2 linked regions of the Drosophila melanogaster genome follow. Changing the gene in region 2 together with the main gene of any one other region gives a genetic interaction. Each region holds a gene or a part of one and is shown on either strand. Other genes may lie near its edges.

What was found.
Region 1: of sim (region 2) and D, changing one enhances a phenotype caused by changing the other (phenotypic enhancement), as found in Drosophila melanogaster (one study listed by BioGRID).

Annotation. Positions count from the first base shown.
Region 1 is NT_037436.4:14,174,210-14,181,029, forward strand, and holds D (dichaete), read right to left. Parts: upstream 4,412-6,820; 5' UTR 4,360-4,411; intron 4,284-4,359; 5' UTR 3,130-4,283; coding exon 1,981-3,129; 3' UTR 1,401-1,980; downstream 1-1,400. UniProt on the Drosophila melanogaster protein: Essential for segmentation and CNS development. May modulate the actions of other transcription factors, including gap and pair-rule proteins.
Region 2 is NT_033777.3:13,069,707-13,079,134, reverse strand, and holds sim (single-minded), read right to left. Parts: upstream 6,737-9,428; 5' UTR 6,637-6,736; coding exon 6,585-6,636; intron 6,474-6,584; coding exon 6,279-6,473; intron 5,056-6,278; coding exon 4,886-5,055; intron 4,565-4,885; coding exon 4,463-4,564; intron 4,323-4,462; coding exon of another isoform or gene 4,299-4,322; coding exon 4,131-4,298; intron 4,059-4,130; coding exon 3,859-4,058; intron 2,937-3,858; coding exon 2,830-2,936; intron 2,742-2,829; coding exon 1,669-2,741; 3' UTR 1,011-1,668; downstream 1-1,010.

The sequences.
Region 1 (6,820 bases), on a different chromosome or scaffold from region 2:
TCTTTCCTTACAATACAAATGTATTGTTGAACCCTTTGGAAGCCTTTACCGCTGTGCACACAAAGTAATGTTCCAAAGAGCTAAGCCAGAAGAATCCAATTTTTATATAATTATTCAATATCACGTCAATGCTGGGTAAATATTTGTTTGCAGAGCAAACGGAGAATGGAGAAACAAGGCATGGAAAAAAGACCAATATCAACAATACGCATAATAACAACAATAATCAATATTTGATATTTTAACACATTTGACATACAACGTGGAAAACGAAGGGGAGCGGGGCAGAGGGCATTGAATAGACTCCCAAAGACTTGAAAACGGCAATCGAAGAGTCAGAGTTCGGGGGAAGACAATGCAAGTGGATTTATTAATGACCGCAATTATTCTTATTATTATTACGAAAAGAAGCTAAAAATCAAAACGGAAAAACACGCGTTGATTTCTTTCGCCAGGGTATTCAGTTACACTCCGAATAGTGAGGTCTTAGAGGGCCCAGGCCCCCCGTTGATCCCGAAAAAAAAACACAATGTGACCCCCATCCAAAGAGCGAAGAGACGACCTTTTGTTCAAACTATCGAATTCTGTCTTGGAGGCGCAAAATAAACAGCGCATTAATCAATAGAAATTAATACACAACGGCAAATAGTTGTATAATGGCAAATCAAATTTAGTTTTTTCATCTCTTCCCAGCGGGTGTAAACTAACCAACAAAAACTCACACAGAAATGAGCGAAATAATAGTAAAGACACCCAGAGACAAGGTTAATTTGATCAGAAACGGGATAGGACTTTGATATTAAACGAATACTACTCACAAAACAGAAAAATTCATACCCATTATTAGGTGATGATGAAATGATTGTTTTTAAGCTTTATCCGAATGACTCACTCAATCCAGTTGAGAATATTATGTTAATGGTCTTATGAATATTCAAATTCGTTATTAATTTCGTTGATAATTTTGATGCATGCTCAGAGCACGACCCTGTATAATCTTAAAGGTTATGAAAAATACAGACACAAATTCGAATTTAAATATGATAATCCAATTATGGAGTATAAAATATAATCAGCTGAAAAATTTAAGTCACATATAGCTTGGGCATATGTTTAAAGTAAATTTATAACATAACTGTAAAATGTGGTATGCTGGCTAAGAAAATGGGAAATGCATTCTATTAAAGGCTTAAAATTATCTTTTTTGTTTTTCAGCTTTTTCCCGGTATATATATATATATGATAACTTCGTCTGATTCCAGTCACAACAACTCTACCTATGTCTTTAATGTGATTACATTTGGTAGAGAATCATCATCATTCATTTCAAAACCAATTGCCAGTTTCACATCTTCCAAGCTGTAAATTATTTGAAATAGAATAAACAGGTTTTCAAATTTGGTTTTCTCAAATCATTTTGTTTTTATTCACTTTTAAATGTCTTTGTTTTGTGTTGGCCTTCATGAACCATTATTCGCTTAGATGATAACTTTTACAATACAATTAATAATACAATAATACATTGATGTACGTTCTTTCCTCGCATTTGGGGCTACACTGAGACTTTAACGAATAGTTGCAGGGATATTTACAATTTGAGAGGGTTAGACAATTAAAACTATAAGCTACATTTTAGGTAGGTGCTGATGCGAAAAAAAACAACAAGAAGGAGGCGCTCGCTCGATGCTTAAAACTAAATAAAATTAATTTACAATTAGGTTTATCTTTTTTAATTTTCTTTGCGGTATAGTGAGTGCGCTAAATAAATTATAATTTATAGTTTGTGTATTGGCTAGGAATGTTTTGTGTGTTCCCTCCTTACTCTCTAGATCTGAAGTGCGCGAAGATTGTACTAGAATTAAGCGGAGTGGTTTGGAGGATTGGCTTACTTAGAGCTTTTGAAGATTTAAAACCAGTGGATCACTTTGGGAATGCGTCAACAATTGTACTCTACTCTGTACTCTAACCTAAAACTCGACTCTAATAGAGCACCGGAACCGGTCGCCTCAGGGCACTGTCCATGGAACCATCCATACCATTTGGCGTGATGGTTCCGGGCGAAGATCCCGGCGAGGAGGTGGACGAGGATGGGTAGAGTCCGGCGGCATTGGCGGAGTGTGCGGCGTACAGCGAAGGTGCCGAGATGCCGGAATAAATGCCCGAGTAGAAGCTGCTCAGCGAGGTGGGCGGCAATTGGGGCGGGGCTTGTCCTTGCTGCTGACCCTGATTGTTGACCGCCGCCGCCGCCGCTGCCTGGGATTGATGCAATTTCGATAGAGCCAGTGGGTCAAATCCACCGAAGTACGGCACTGGATAACCCTGATCCAGATGGTGTGAGGGTGCAAAGTATGGCGGTAGTTGATGGAATGGATTGTAGCCTCCGGCTCCAGCTCCCGGTCCAGCTCCCAACTTCTGTTGACCCATGCCGCCGGCCTGCATCTGCAGTCCACCCTGGGGTCCAGCGGTCAGTGGGTTCTTGGGCTTGCGGCGTGGCCGGTACTTGTAGTCCGGGTGCTCCTTCATGTGCAGGGCCCTCAAGCGCTTGGCCTCATCGATGAATGGTCGTTTCTCCGACTCGGCCAGCAACTTCCACTCGGCACCCAGGCGCTTGGAGATCTCAGAGTTGTGCATCTTGGGGTTATCCTTGGCGATCTGACGACGCTGCAGGCGGGACCAGACCATGAACGCGTTCATTGGACGCTTGATGTGACCCTCTTGTCCCGGCGATGTGGCCAAACTGTGCATGCCGGCGGACTGGTGACCCGAACTGGAGTTGAGACCACTGCCATTGCTGCCCAGGCTGCTCTGGCTACCCAGACTGCCGGCGGATCCGATGGAACTGTTGGGCGACAAGGTCTGTTGGGCGGAGACCGCCTGGTGCATGTGGTGCGGGGTCATGTGACTGGACATGTGGTGACCCATGCCCGAGGATCCGTTCACACCCTGGCCGGCGGGTCCATTGGGCGATCCGCCCATGGCTGCCAGGCTTTGGGAGTAGTGCAGCACACGCTTGATATCCATGTCCATGCCGGGACTCAGCTGGAGCTGACTTTGCGGTGCGTAGTCCTCCAAGCCTTGGGCCTGACCCAAATGGAAACCGTAATTGGGGTGTGTCGATAAGGTGGCCATTCCAGCTATTTTGAACACTTTGTTTAACTTTTGCTTCTTTCAAGATCAACACTTCACTTTCTAGAACACAATATGTCTGTGGTTCAACTGTGATTTCTCAGATTTTTTCTTTGTCTCTATGTCAATTACTGTCTTGCTTTTGCTTCTGCTTTGCTCTTGCTTTGCTTCTGCTCGGATCGACTGCTTTTTTGTGACTGATTTCAGTAGTGTTCCAGTGCGGCCTACACGACTGCAGCCAAATCCCGTTTCTCTCGGAAGAGAGTTGAGCACGAAGTGCGAGCAACCCTCGCACCATTACCTTTACGTAAGCCACGTGGGTGCGAGCGGGATAGAGGCTGGGCTTCTTACCTGGGAGAGAGCTGCGCCGTCGTCGCGCTCTCACTCACACATAGCGTCTTCTCTCTTTCGTTTTGCGGCCCATTGTTCCACTGGCTTTGTTCCATTGGCTCCTTTATATCGGTTATAGTTGTTCGCCCATTGAGGGGTGTGTTCAATAGAGGAGCTCAATAGAGCCAAAAGCCAGGCAGCTCTCGTTCGGCTGTGCTTCGTGTTATTCGATTTAGCGACCCCAATCCTGTGGGGCAGGGGGAGCTCAAAGTACGGAGCGAGAGAGAGAAAGAGAGCCAGGGCGAGCGCGGGAGCACATTGATTTTCGCACAGTGGGCACACAATTTCCGTTATTGTTTGCACGGCGGCGTTGCACTTCCGCATCTCCTATGCAGTTAGAACGAGAGAGGGAGAGAACACAACTCTCTCCCCGCGTATGTGTGTGCGTGTTTGTTGGGCCAATCACAATGGGTCTTTGGTGTGAATTTTTGTCCATTGTGGGTGTCTGTGTTCTGCTATATACCGTTCTCTATGTGTACTCTGTAGTCAGTACTATGTGTGTGTGTGAAAGGACTTTTTAGTTTGTGAAAAGGACATGGAAACACGCTTTCCATTCTCTTGCCCCGCTCTCCATTCTCGCATTCTTTCATTTCGCTCGCCATTCTTCTCCATTCTTTTCCGTTCCCTTTTTGCCACTTCTTCCTGGCCGCTCCAGAAAGGATATTACTGCAATTATTTACTTATTTGGCCATAGAAAGAAGCCCACAAAGGAGCCAGTGGAAGTGAGGCAAATCTTCACCCAGATGCATGTAGAACGGTCCTCTGTGCTTTATTATAGAAAAGATGTTTTAGCCAGCTTTTCTTTTTGGTTTACCAAATAAGCAGTAGCAAAAGAAAACAAACCTTTTAATGTTGATTGAAAGGACAAGGGCAATCGAATAATTGACAATTAAATCTACCGCAAACTAATGTTTTTTTCATTCGTAACTAAAAGAGTTTCCCAAATAATAATAATAAGTTTTCAAATTCTTGTTAACACACATATTTACCTCTCTTTCGAAACGAAGACATAATTTATGGCTTTTGTGATGCAAAGATTGTAAGAGTTTAACATTGCTTCATTAAACAACATCTTGACCCCAAGAGCCGTTGTTTTAATAAAAATGTTTCTTTCAGGAATAAGGTTGCAATATTCTATTATATTTTTTAAAACTCCATAACCCCAAAAGTAAAACCATTCTCCCCTTTGAGCTTTTATCCCACCCTTCTCTTTGCCTTTCTCCTGCTCATGCACGCACCCACACAACGATGCACCAAAGCTTAGTGCAATTTCCAATTGCATTTACAAAGCTCTTATACCTGGCCCATAGCGTAAGAGCATAAAAAGCTTTCAGCGTTCGCAACGTTTCCGTTGTGTCTGCTTTCCCCAAAAAAGGAAGAAAGGACAACGTAGAACGGCAACAACAACGAATCTCAAATAATAATGAAAGCAAAAACTGTTGTACGTTGTGTAATGGAAAAAGTTTTGTCCGCGTCACATTTTTCTTTCTGAGTTTTCAGCATTTCACTTAGCAGACGAGGACACTAAGTGAGTGATAATAGCACACAGTGTAGGATGAATGCAGGATCCTGTTTCCTAAAATCGCTCCCCACCCACATGCGGCATAAATAATTGTTACATTTGTGATACAATTTATGATGAATTCCTTATTTTATATAAATAAATATTCTTTTAGAATCCAGTTAAAATAAGTGTAAAGAGTAAAACAAATAAGGATAAACGTTTTAAATTATTAGCACATATACTCTTTATGTGTTTTGCTATCAAATTCAATAAATAAATAAGCTAGCTGATGCATTTTTAATTTCATTTTTGCGGAATAGTGACAATCAAAATTGTCTTAAGAATATTGTTCAAATTAGTGGAAGTTGTAAAATAATTCATGATAAACTTCTAATACTCGTAGTTGGATAAATAAACTCTAAATATGTTTTCTGTCTAATTTAATAATTACTTAAGCTAATAATAGATTTTCTTTCTTTGTTATGGTGCCGTGCAAACTGAAAAACATTTTATTTATCAGATATTTATCTGATAAAAATCTATCAGTATAAATACAGTATCAGAGTGCAGTTGAAAATTAAATAAATGTAAATTTAATTTGATCGCATAATGGCAGGTGAGAGATGAGTCAAGTTGTGCCGTGATTACTATTATTCGAATACAATATTAACCATTATCCTGTCGCCAGAAATCACCCTCACCGCTTAACCCATTCGAAATTCACCGATTCTCCGCGGTGAAAGAGAAAGACTCGCGTTTTATTGTTCGTTCCTGCATTGTTGTTGTTTTCGATTGTTGATTGTTGTTGTTTTCATTCAATTGTCATTTGGGGAGCTGGTTTCATTTTTATTTGTTGTATTCCGCAAATATAATTTTTGTCATTCATTCTTTTTTAATTAAATTCAGGAACAATCGCGCAAATGTAAGACTTGACAATGTCCAGAATGGATTCAATGATAATGAAAAAATTAAAACGAATATAAAAGGCAAATGAGGTTACATTCCCATTATTGTTCAGTTGATTGAATCGTTCAATTATTGATATGGCATATATATCGTATCATTTTTGCAAGTTATATATTCTTTTCCCCCTCATTTGGAGTTATGCCTACCATCTGGCGTCGGCAGTTATAAAATGAATCGTTTTGACTGAATTTTCTCACGTTTTCGGATTGGCCTTTGTTCATTTTGCATTTCCATTTTCCACCCACAAGAGTTCTTTTTTGATTTTTCCTGCTTCCTGACGTACGTGTCCATTTGATCGCCTCACAGATTTTGGCGCTTTTCACATGTCATTCCAGTTAAGAGCATTTTTGGCATGCTCACGAATTTCCCTTTCTCTGCTTTGAATTTCTGGTGCCTTCTTCGCTTCGCTTTGATTTGGAGAAATGAAAAATTATAGCGCACTTATCGTTTGATGTTCATAGAATGTGAAAAGTTAGGGGATGGCAGGTCCAGCTAGGGATAATGAAATCATTTTCGTGGAAAAACTTGCATAAAATGAAAAGAAATCTATGAAATGGGAACGAACAGTAATGTTATTATTATGGCACTTTAGATAACATTTTCTTACAAGGCTATAAAATCCCATCATATCCGCTTTTCATATACGGGCGTGATTATGCGACAAGAAATGGCCAAAATGTCTCGGGAATTTCTCCTCTCGGCTCATCCCAAGCTCAGACCATTAGGGAAACAAAACGAGCCATTCTTCCAAGGATACTCTAAGGAAAAACTCTATAGAAATGGAAGGACGCCCACATGTGCTGTCGACTTCCGTTTCGGCTTCACCTGATACAA
Region 2 (9,428 bases):
AAAAGAGGTCAGGCTTATCTGCAGATAGCACTTGCCAGCAAAAAAGGGATGCCTACTCTGTTGGCTCACACAAAATGGCAGGCAATAAATCAATGGTCTCTATACTGAACCAACCGTCCCACACAAATGGGCCAACTATTTCATCCCAGGCCAGCAACTTGGCCAGAAGGGTTTGGTTCGGCTCGGCTTTACATGTTTATGCTGCACCAGCAGCAGCATCCATGGCCAAAAGCAAGCATTCTGTATTAGGAATATGTGGCATTTGAAGCATCCAGGGTTTTCTAATTTGATTTCAGTAGGATTGAATGGTGGAAAAATATGCAGCATTATAGGTGAATGATTAATTAAAATTGAGGTCAAGACATACAGAAAAAGAAACTAGCAATGGAAATAAATTAGTAAAATCCATCAAGCAAAAAAATTCAATACTATTTTATTTTATAATAAATTTAGAAAAGCTTCTTTTTTAATTTGTAAAAAGCTAATTGGTTTTAGTTTTCTAATCTAATTTAAATAACCGTCGACACAGGGTGCCTATGGCAATTGAATCAAAATATATTTCAACACAGTGGTGAAATTCTGTAGAATATGTATTATACATTTTGTAAAGTACATCAAGTTTTGTTCAAAACCACTAGATGTCGCACCACTTTTATACGTATACGTTACAATACGTATACGTAGAATGTAAGCTGGTGGCAGATTAAGGAACTAAATATATGTGTAGTTTAGTATGTTACCTAAAAATATGCAACGAAATATTTTAAAATCGGCTATTGCGTCAAAGCTGCATTTTTCAATCCATACAAAATTTGATTAAAACGCTAAATTGTGAAATATATAAAAGCATATAAATAGATAATTTTAAAACAAAGATAATGGAAATAGATAAAGGTGCTAGTTTTTGAAAATAACATTTTATTTGTAAACCAAGATTACTAAATTAAATAATAACTCTAGAGGCTTCCAGCGGCGCTTATTTGAAAAAATCGAACTCTCGCTCTTTTTTTATTGTTCACCCACGTAATAATTTGTTTATTCAAATTAGAAAAATTCTCGATAATAATAGATTTTACATTTACAATTATTTACTTGACTTATGAAGATCATATTCGTTAACTGCATAGTGGAGCGGACCCTGCACTATTTACACATTATTGCATATACATATGTATATTCGTAGATCCGATGTGTATGCATGATTATGGGGGCCAAGTGTATGCGCTTTACTATATAGTTATAAGTATAAGTATGTGCAATTAATTTAAGTTAGTTTGTATGAACAGTTTACAGTTAGGCCTTACAACTATTTATTATTAGAATTTGTATTTGCTTTTGCATTTGTTAACAACGATCATTCCGCATTCTTAATTTCTTAGCATTTTGTATCAATTTCTTTGTAACTTTACACTGCACAATTAACGCGAACGCATTGCATTGGGTAATGCATGGTGGGGGTGTTAAATAAATAAAATAGAGGCATAGAGGAGGTCCTGAAATTCAGATGGTGTGTGGCTCAGCCACATATTACAATTTCGAACTGAGAACTCAGAGGTGTATATAACATTGCAACGGATGGTGGGGTGGGGGCAGTCGACGTTTTATAAACAACAGTACAGTAGCAGTCAAGGCTCATCGTCCAACATTTGGTTATTTACATTTTTAGGATCACCAGGTGGCGTATTGGTATTGCAGATGCTGCTGCTCCATCAGATGCTGCTGCTGCTGCTGATGCTGATGCTGTTGCGAACTGTTGTCGGAGAAGTAGCTCAGCTCGAAGTTGTGACTCAGATCGCTGTAGGTCGTCTGTGAGGGCGATGTTTCGTTCACAATCGAGGCATTTCCGGTGGACAGCTGCCTTTCGCTCTCCGAACTGCTCGAGCAGCTATTCGAATTGGCCGAGAATGGGCGTATCATCGAGGTGGCCACATCCACCGTCGCATCGTAGTCATAGTAATAGTGATTGTTGTTATTGTAGTACAGGTTGCCGGTGGTCGTGTCCGGATACTGCATCTCCGTGGAGTAAACGCCGGAGGACGAGGCCGACGCACTGGATCCACCGCCCGCACTTGAGGCGGTGCCACCGCCCACACTGCTGCTCGAGCTCACCACCAGGTCGTTCAAGGGCGGATAAAGCTGCGTGTAACTCAGGCTATCGTGATCCATGCTGCCGGACTGCTGCTGCTGTTGCACATGATGGTGGTGCCACACGCCGTTGTTATTGTTGCTACTACTACTACTATTATTCGTTGGGGGCACGGGCGTTACGGCCGGCTGCAGCGGCAGCTCTGGCTCGAAATACGGATCCAGCTTGGGACTTGCACTGAGGGCCAGACTAACTGGCGTACCCGGACCCACCGGCTGACCCGTTGCTCCGGCGCACTGCGGCTGCACCACCACCGACTGCTGGGGCACCACCACCACCTGGGCCTGCACCGCTTGAGCCACATGTGCCGCCTGTGCCGCCTGTGCCGCTTGGGCCGCTTGGGCCGCTTGAGCTGCCTGTGCCGCTTGAGCCGCCGGCGATATGGGCTCCCGCTTCACAACGCCCGTCTGAATCTCGTTCAGCACCAAGTCTTTCACCTCTCGTTCGCTCAGCACATAGTTCACGCTCACGATGAACACTTCTCGCGAGGATCGCGAATTGTGCACCAGTGTCGCGTACGACTGCACCCACACCCAGCCGCCGCCTTTGGTGAGGAAGCGGTAGTACTTGGTGGTCACTTGTCCTTTGTACAGCACTATTGATAGGGAGAGAAGAAACAAACTCGATGAGAATGATGTTTTATGGAAATTATTATGGCAGTGTATTGGGATGAGTGTACTTACGGATTTGATGAGAGCAGCGCATGGCCATGATGTCCGCGGCGTGGATATACTGATACAGGGTCTTCTCGATGAGGTCCTGCGGCTCGTATCCTGTTAGCTGCGATACGCTGTAAGCAAATAAACAGGCAAAAGGATGAGCATGAGAATGGGGATAAGTTTCGAGGTCGAGGGCAAAAGTTTCGCTGGCTTATTTAAACAGTGAATGAATGGTCATTGGTGTTGCCTTTGTCGCTGGCGTGTTTTATTCGGTTGGTTTACTTTTGCCGACTCCAATTCAATTATGCAGGAAAACAAAAAAAAAAGAAGCGGCGAAAAAGGGGCTGATTTCCCGCTCAGCACTTTGGGGTTGTTTGCTGCGAAAGTGCGAGGGCGCCAGAATAGGATGGCAATATGCTGTGTGGCATCATGAGGGTAATTGAGTGACAATAATGTCAGACAAAGTGGGCTGGTTTTTTGGCCCGGCAGGCACTTACACAGCGTCCCCTTTCCCCCTCAGCACTCACTCACACACTCACACACACGCACAGGGACAAAGGAAAATCAAGCTCAAGAGGGAAATGATTTGTTTTTCCTTTTGTCATGTCGCCACCGTCTTGCTTACATTTCCTTTTCCCTACTCGATTATTTTTTTTGTTTTCCGCCACTTTGAAAACATTATCTTTTTGGGGGCGTCTGCTGGTACTTTTTATCGTGGTGTAAAAAACGAATTCTGCGGCCCGTTTAAATATTTGCCTAGTGTCGAATATACGGCAAACAGGCAAAGGATACTTTCGAGAATTTTTTAAGTGCAGTGAGAAAAATTATGCTGTGAAAGCACCAGGCTACACGGATAAAAATTGGTCTTAGAATTACATTATGATATTTAAGGATATTAAACATTAAGGATATTTAAACATCCAATAAATCGATGTTGTAAGATTTATAGGAATTTCTCGAGTGGATTTCAATACAAAGTGATAGAAAATATGCAGACAACGAACTATTCATCTATTTGTGCCCTAATTAAATGGAAATTTGAATTACACTTACCGTGCATCGAAGAAGATGAGCTTCATGTCCAGCTTGGCCCGGAACATGAACATATTCTGGTGCAGCTTGATTTCCGTGATGGCGGATGAAGGCAGCGAGTGACCGACGGCCACCAGGCCGAGATTCTGGATGAGGCTGCCCTGTCCATCCCCGCGATCGGGATAGATGCGAGCCTTCAGATAGCCGGAGCAGTGTATCACCTAAAATCATCAAGTAATACAAGGATAAGCAATCAATCCATTTAAAGGAATGGTATGTATAAAATTCTTTACCTTAAATCCGGAGGTGGTGAGGCCCGCGTTCCTTTTGGCCAGGACGCACTTCATGCGCAGGAAGAAGGTCTTCTCGATCTCGATGGTGTGCGATCCGCGATCGTGGTCGTAGGCGGATGGATGCTGGACGCCATTGGGACTGCCGATGGGCGTGTGCGTCTGGGCGAGCTGTAGGGAGTTGAGAAAGGCGGCCTGTGGCGTGAGTACAAGTCAGAGTAGGATGGATGCATGGCAGTGAGAGAGAGAGAGAGAGATGGAGAGAGAAAGAAAGAGAGCGCAAACATTTTCAAATGTTTCAAAGGACTCTGTGGAAACACGGATGCTCTACTCACTGGATGCTGGTTGATGTGCGGATGCAGCGACAAAATGGCATTCATCTCGTCCTGATCGTAGTTGTGTATGTACTCGAATATCGAGTTGCCCGTCAGCTCAACCTGGTTAAAAAAAAGAGATAAATAAACCATTAAATATTAAATTTATATAAAATATATCCTATACTGATGTAAAGTTAATTTCTTTATGCTGATCATATAAGTGGAGCTATGTTAATTTGCTCCACCAGCACTGAGTGCCAATTAGTGGGCAAATGCAAATGAATCGTCTTTACTGAAGCCACAGCACTTGGGTGACCTGCACCATTCAAGCCCATTGACTTGCAAATGCAAGTGGTGGCCAGGATACAAAAAGGCAAATTCAGGTGGCCCGGCAAATTATGCGCATAAATCAGGACAAGAGATCCATTCACCGACACTCACCTGACTGAGGCCCAAATGCACGGAGGCCGTTTCCGAGATGTACATGATTTTGCCATCCGGAGCCACCACGAAGATGAATCCGTCCAGCGTCTGCAGCAGATGGGAGCCCAGCTCCTTGATGGTGGCGCCGCGTTGCATGGCAGGCGATGAGCCCCAGGCTTCGCCAAGACCTACAAAATAAGATTTAGATTTATGAAACATGTTTTATTGTCTTTAAAAATGAAATCTAAAAAGTTCTTGCTACTTAATACAATCAAATTGTATTCCGTTTTAAATGATTTTTATATAGTTTTATATTTAAGCTGTCCTTTCTATTGTCTCCGTTTGATTGGACTTGGATTTAGTATTATGTCAAGCTCCCGTTTCTATTGTCTTATCCGCCCCAATGTCCTGAATTAATTGTTTGTCATCCGCTCGAAGTATCTTAATTCGCAAAATTCCCACCAGCAGCAGTGGCAGTGGCAGCACACGCCCTACTTGCCACTGCTGACGTCTAAATATTATTCCCAATTAAAGTCATCGAGCGCCGTAGGTGGCCCATTCACAGCCCACCATTCCACCCACTGGCCCACCCCCCCCGACTTTCATCGACTTCGCACCATATATACAACATATATTGTGTTGTACATAATACCACTGGCACTTCCTTGGCCCGTCCGGATCTCGTTGTTTGTTGCCTATTATTAAAATAATTATTTCAATAAAGGCTGAAAAGAAAAGCACAAAACGGTGCGGCAACAATGGGAGCGTCAAACGCCCAACCAACCGACCGACCAACGAACCACCCACCCACTCACTTCTCGAGCAACCCTCTTTGTCAGCAGAAAATCTCAGTGGCGCACGCTCACATGGTCGGTGGGGAAAAGTTCGGGAAATGTGTGTGTGTGTGTGTGTGTGTGGGGGGGGGGGGGGGGGAGATGTTCGAGTTCGGTTTTCCAGTGCGGCTCTCGCTGCTCTTTGAGTGAAACAACCAAGCAGCCGCCATTGTGTTTTCGCCAACCCCAACCAGCCGCCCACTTCATCCTGCTGTTTATTGTCTGCCCATTTGTTGAGTGCTATTTCCCTGTTATTTCCCTGGCCGATTCTCGCCAACATATGCTTTAAACAAACATAGCCGCTTAAACTTGAAAACTGGCAGCGTAAAATGGAATGAAATGAAATCATTGCAAGTACATTGGAGTTAAAGTGAAAACAAAGGAGCATGTCCTGCTGCGAGGATATGACGAGCTTGGATTATAATGAGCGTGTCGGTCGCGTGGCTGTCAAAGATTCCGCATCATTTGCCGTGTAGCCACAAGGCGCATTTCACACGAGATGAAAAGCCAAGAGCGGCGACAAATTGAGCGCCAATCAAGTGAGTTTTTCCGCAGGACGATTTTCCGATTGAACTTACCATCGGGAAAGACTTGGCGCATTTTCAAATACGACGTGGTCAGCCGGATGACGGAGGCCTTGTCCAGTTGCGAAGTAATCGCCGCCGGCAGCGGCAGTAATTTGGCCAATTCACAGAATTCCGTGTTTTCCTTTTCACGTCGCGTGCGTGCCGCATTTTTGCTTTTCTCCTTCATGGCACACGTTTTGGCTATATCTGCAAAAATCGAAATAACCAAAAAGCATTTTTAGTAACAGAGGAGAAAGTTGGTAACAAACTAAAAAAAATGAACGTTGATATATTTCGTTGCCAAAAACCACAACCGACCATGCAATCTGCTCTCATAGCAATCCTTGCGCACTCGCCGATGGTTAGTCATTTTAAAGATATCCTTTTTTATAGATCCTGCTTTGAGACTGTTGCGAGCACCTTCTCAGCACTTGCTCATATCCCTGCAATCACCTGTTTGCAACTGAGCCGCTTTCCAGCGGCACAAGCACTTTTAACAGTTTCCCAACTGATCCCGAAAAGGATCTGTTACCTGATCCTGAGAAAACAACCTGCCATTGGCTGCACTGGATTTTTACCTGTTTACCCGGGGCAATTGACTTTTCGCAATGTTACTAATTTGCTCAGATCATTTTTGCCGAATGGCGAGACGAAAATAGCTGCCATCTCACTCCAAGTGACTCCTGCATTCAACAGGTTGACTTTTGCCGACCGCAGGAGTTTCACTTATATCTATATGCACACAGACACACACACAAATATTCTGGTGTCTGTGCGAGCACATAATACCCAAATGATGTCCCACGCACACTGCCAAACAAAACGAGAGTTTAGGAGGTGGCGAAATTTATATGCACCACACTCACACACATCCACAGCCAGGATGAGGATGACCCACAGCCGGAATCCTGCCATTGATAGTTTTCGAACGTGATTTTGGCGCAGTTTTGGCAAAATCTAAGCCATTGGAACTCCTGCTGCTTTATTTTCCATCGAGTCACTTTTTCTGTCACTCTCAAAGAAATTGGCCATTTACCTAAATGTACCGAATGGCTGGAATTCGCACGTAAATACAAGTTTATTGACTTAGGTCACGTATCTTAAATGTTTTTAGTTTTGCCGCTAATTTGCCCACAAAAATGTTAGATATGCAAGTTAATCCGACGTCTTTTATGGCCATATAATGCAATATATACCTCAAATTTTATACTTCAACTAAATGTATATTGGAATAACTAGAGCTTAGCTAATTTATGATAAAAAATTAAAAAATAAATCAAAGCCAAAACTCCAATAAAGTGTTTCCTTTGTATTGATAGTACTTTGCATCCATTTAGCAGCAAGAAATGAAACATTTGTCAAAAGTCAGAGATTGAGGGAATTGTCGACATCCGTTACGCATTCGCAGGAGCAACAGATTTGCCCAACGATCATAATCCTAAAGAGTATTCCGCGCTAATCCGCAACGCAAATGTGCCAACATGCACGTCTGAAGTGAGGTTGCTTCCCTTTCTCCGTTGGCGAAGTGGAAATTCCAGGGGAAATAGGGGAAAACTGAGGCGTTCCCATTTAGGCCGCGATTGCCATATTTGACTCGACTAGCGTACAATATGCGGACAGGAGTCAGCCAGAGGGTTGGATATCATATGCCGGCAAATCCATTTAATAGGATAGTTTACGAGCCGTAAGTGGGTCAAAATTATTCAGGATATAAGCCATTATTCCATTTGAACATTACAGCATTTCATATAGCCATAAATACGGGAATATGCCATTGATATATCAGCGTTTGTTTCAATAATCTCAATTCTGGATATAGGAAACAAAGATGTAATCAAAACATGCTAGATAGTATGAAATCATCGTAAAATGTGCACATCTTTAGGATTAATATTTTACAGAAAATTAAAAAAATGTTAAATAAATTGTCATTTCAAATTTTTTTTCAATTATATTTATAAACCCTAGGGCTAAAAAAGTTCCCCTTTCACGACAATGAAACTCAAACTTTAACGATCTTTTCCCGGAAAGCGTATAAAAATGCGACTCATGCCTCGAATGGCAACTCAATGAACCGGATCTCAAGCCGAATCCCAGCCCATCCAAGCAACTTGACCTTAATCTGGTTACAGGCAAACAGCAAACTGAAAACAAATGGCCAAAAGTTTAAAAATAAAGTCAACACAAATATTCACACTGAACTTGAACTAGAGAGTTTCACATAAGGAGGACAATGCTGTGGGAATGGGTTGGTGTGGCATGGAAACAGGTAGGATGAGCAAAGATTCCCACGCAGCGGAAAGTGGAGAGTCCATAAAGCAATTAACAGGACACTGGACGCTGGTCCGATGCTAATGTGGGTGTTGCGGGTGAGGCGCAACAGCGCCTATACCCTATATCCTGCATCCTACATCCGATCCTGCTGCTTCTCGCTTCCCATCAGGACGAGCCACAGGTATGGATATGCTAAAAACCCGATGCTCGCAGCTCATGTTCTCACGCTAGCGCATCGCCATCGGGGAATTTCCAATCGGCCAATTGATAACCAGTCGGGGAAAAACGGCCAAAAAAGCAGCACATGTCCTGGAAGTGTGAGAAACTTGCGAGGCGGCCAGGCTTACCTGCCACTCCTACCGGCACCTCACTGCGATTCCCACACATTGCCGAGCTGTCCTATCAGGTGGGAAGCTGTGGCCGTGGCCGTGGAAAGCGGAAAATCGCCATACGCTGTAAATGTGCGTAACATATGCCGGGGCCACAACGATAAGAGCTCTGCTCCTGTTCCTGCCAAAATGTTTCAGCACTCGAAGAATTGTGTGTTGAAAAAAATATATCTGGTTGAATCTAAAGAAAATAGCTAGGATAGCTGAACATTTCATTCGAATCCGTGCATGAAAATCATTTTATTAATTTTATTTTCATCGAAAGGTTCAGTCGTTTGAATAAACTTATTGAACTATACAGCAAGTATAACAGAAAAATATCTCATTGTTCAATTGTGTTTTGTAAAGGTATATGATTTTTCAAAAAATCTCAATTTATTATTCCATAATTTAAAATAAACCTTTGCATTTACCTAACCGTACTATCGCCGTACTATATACTTAAATTATTTTCCTCGCAGAACCCCTTTTCTTTTTTCTCTGTGCACTTTTGCACCCA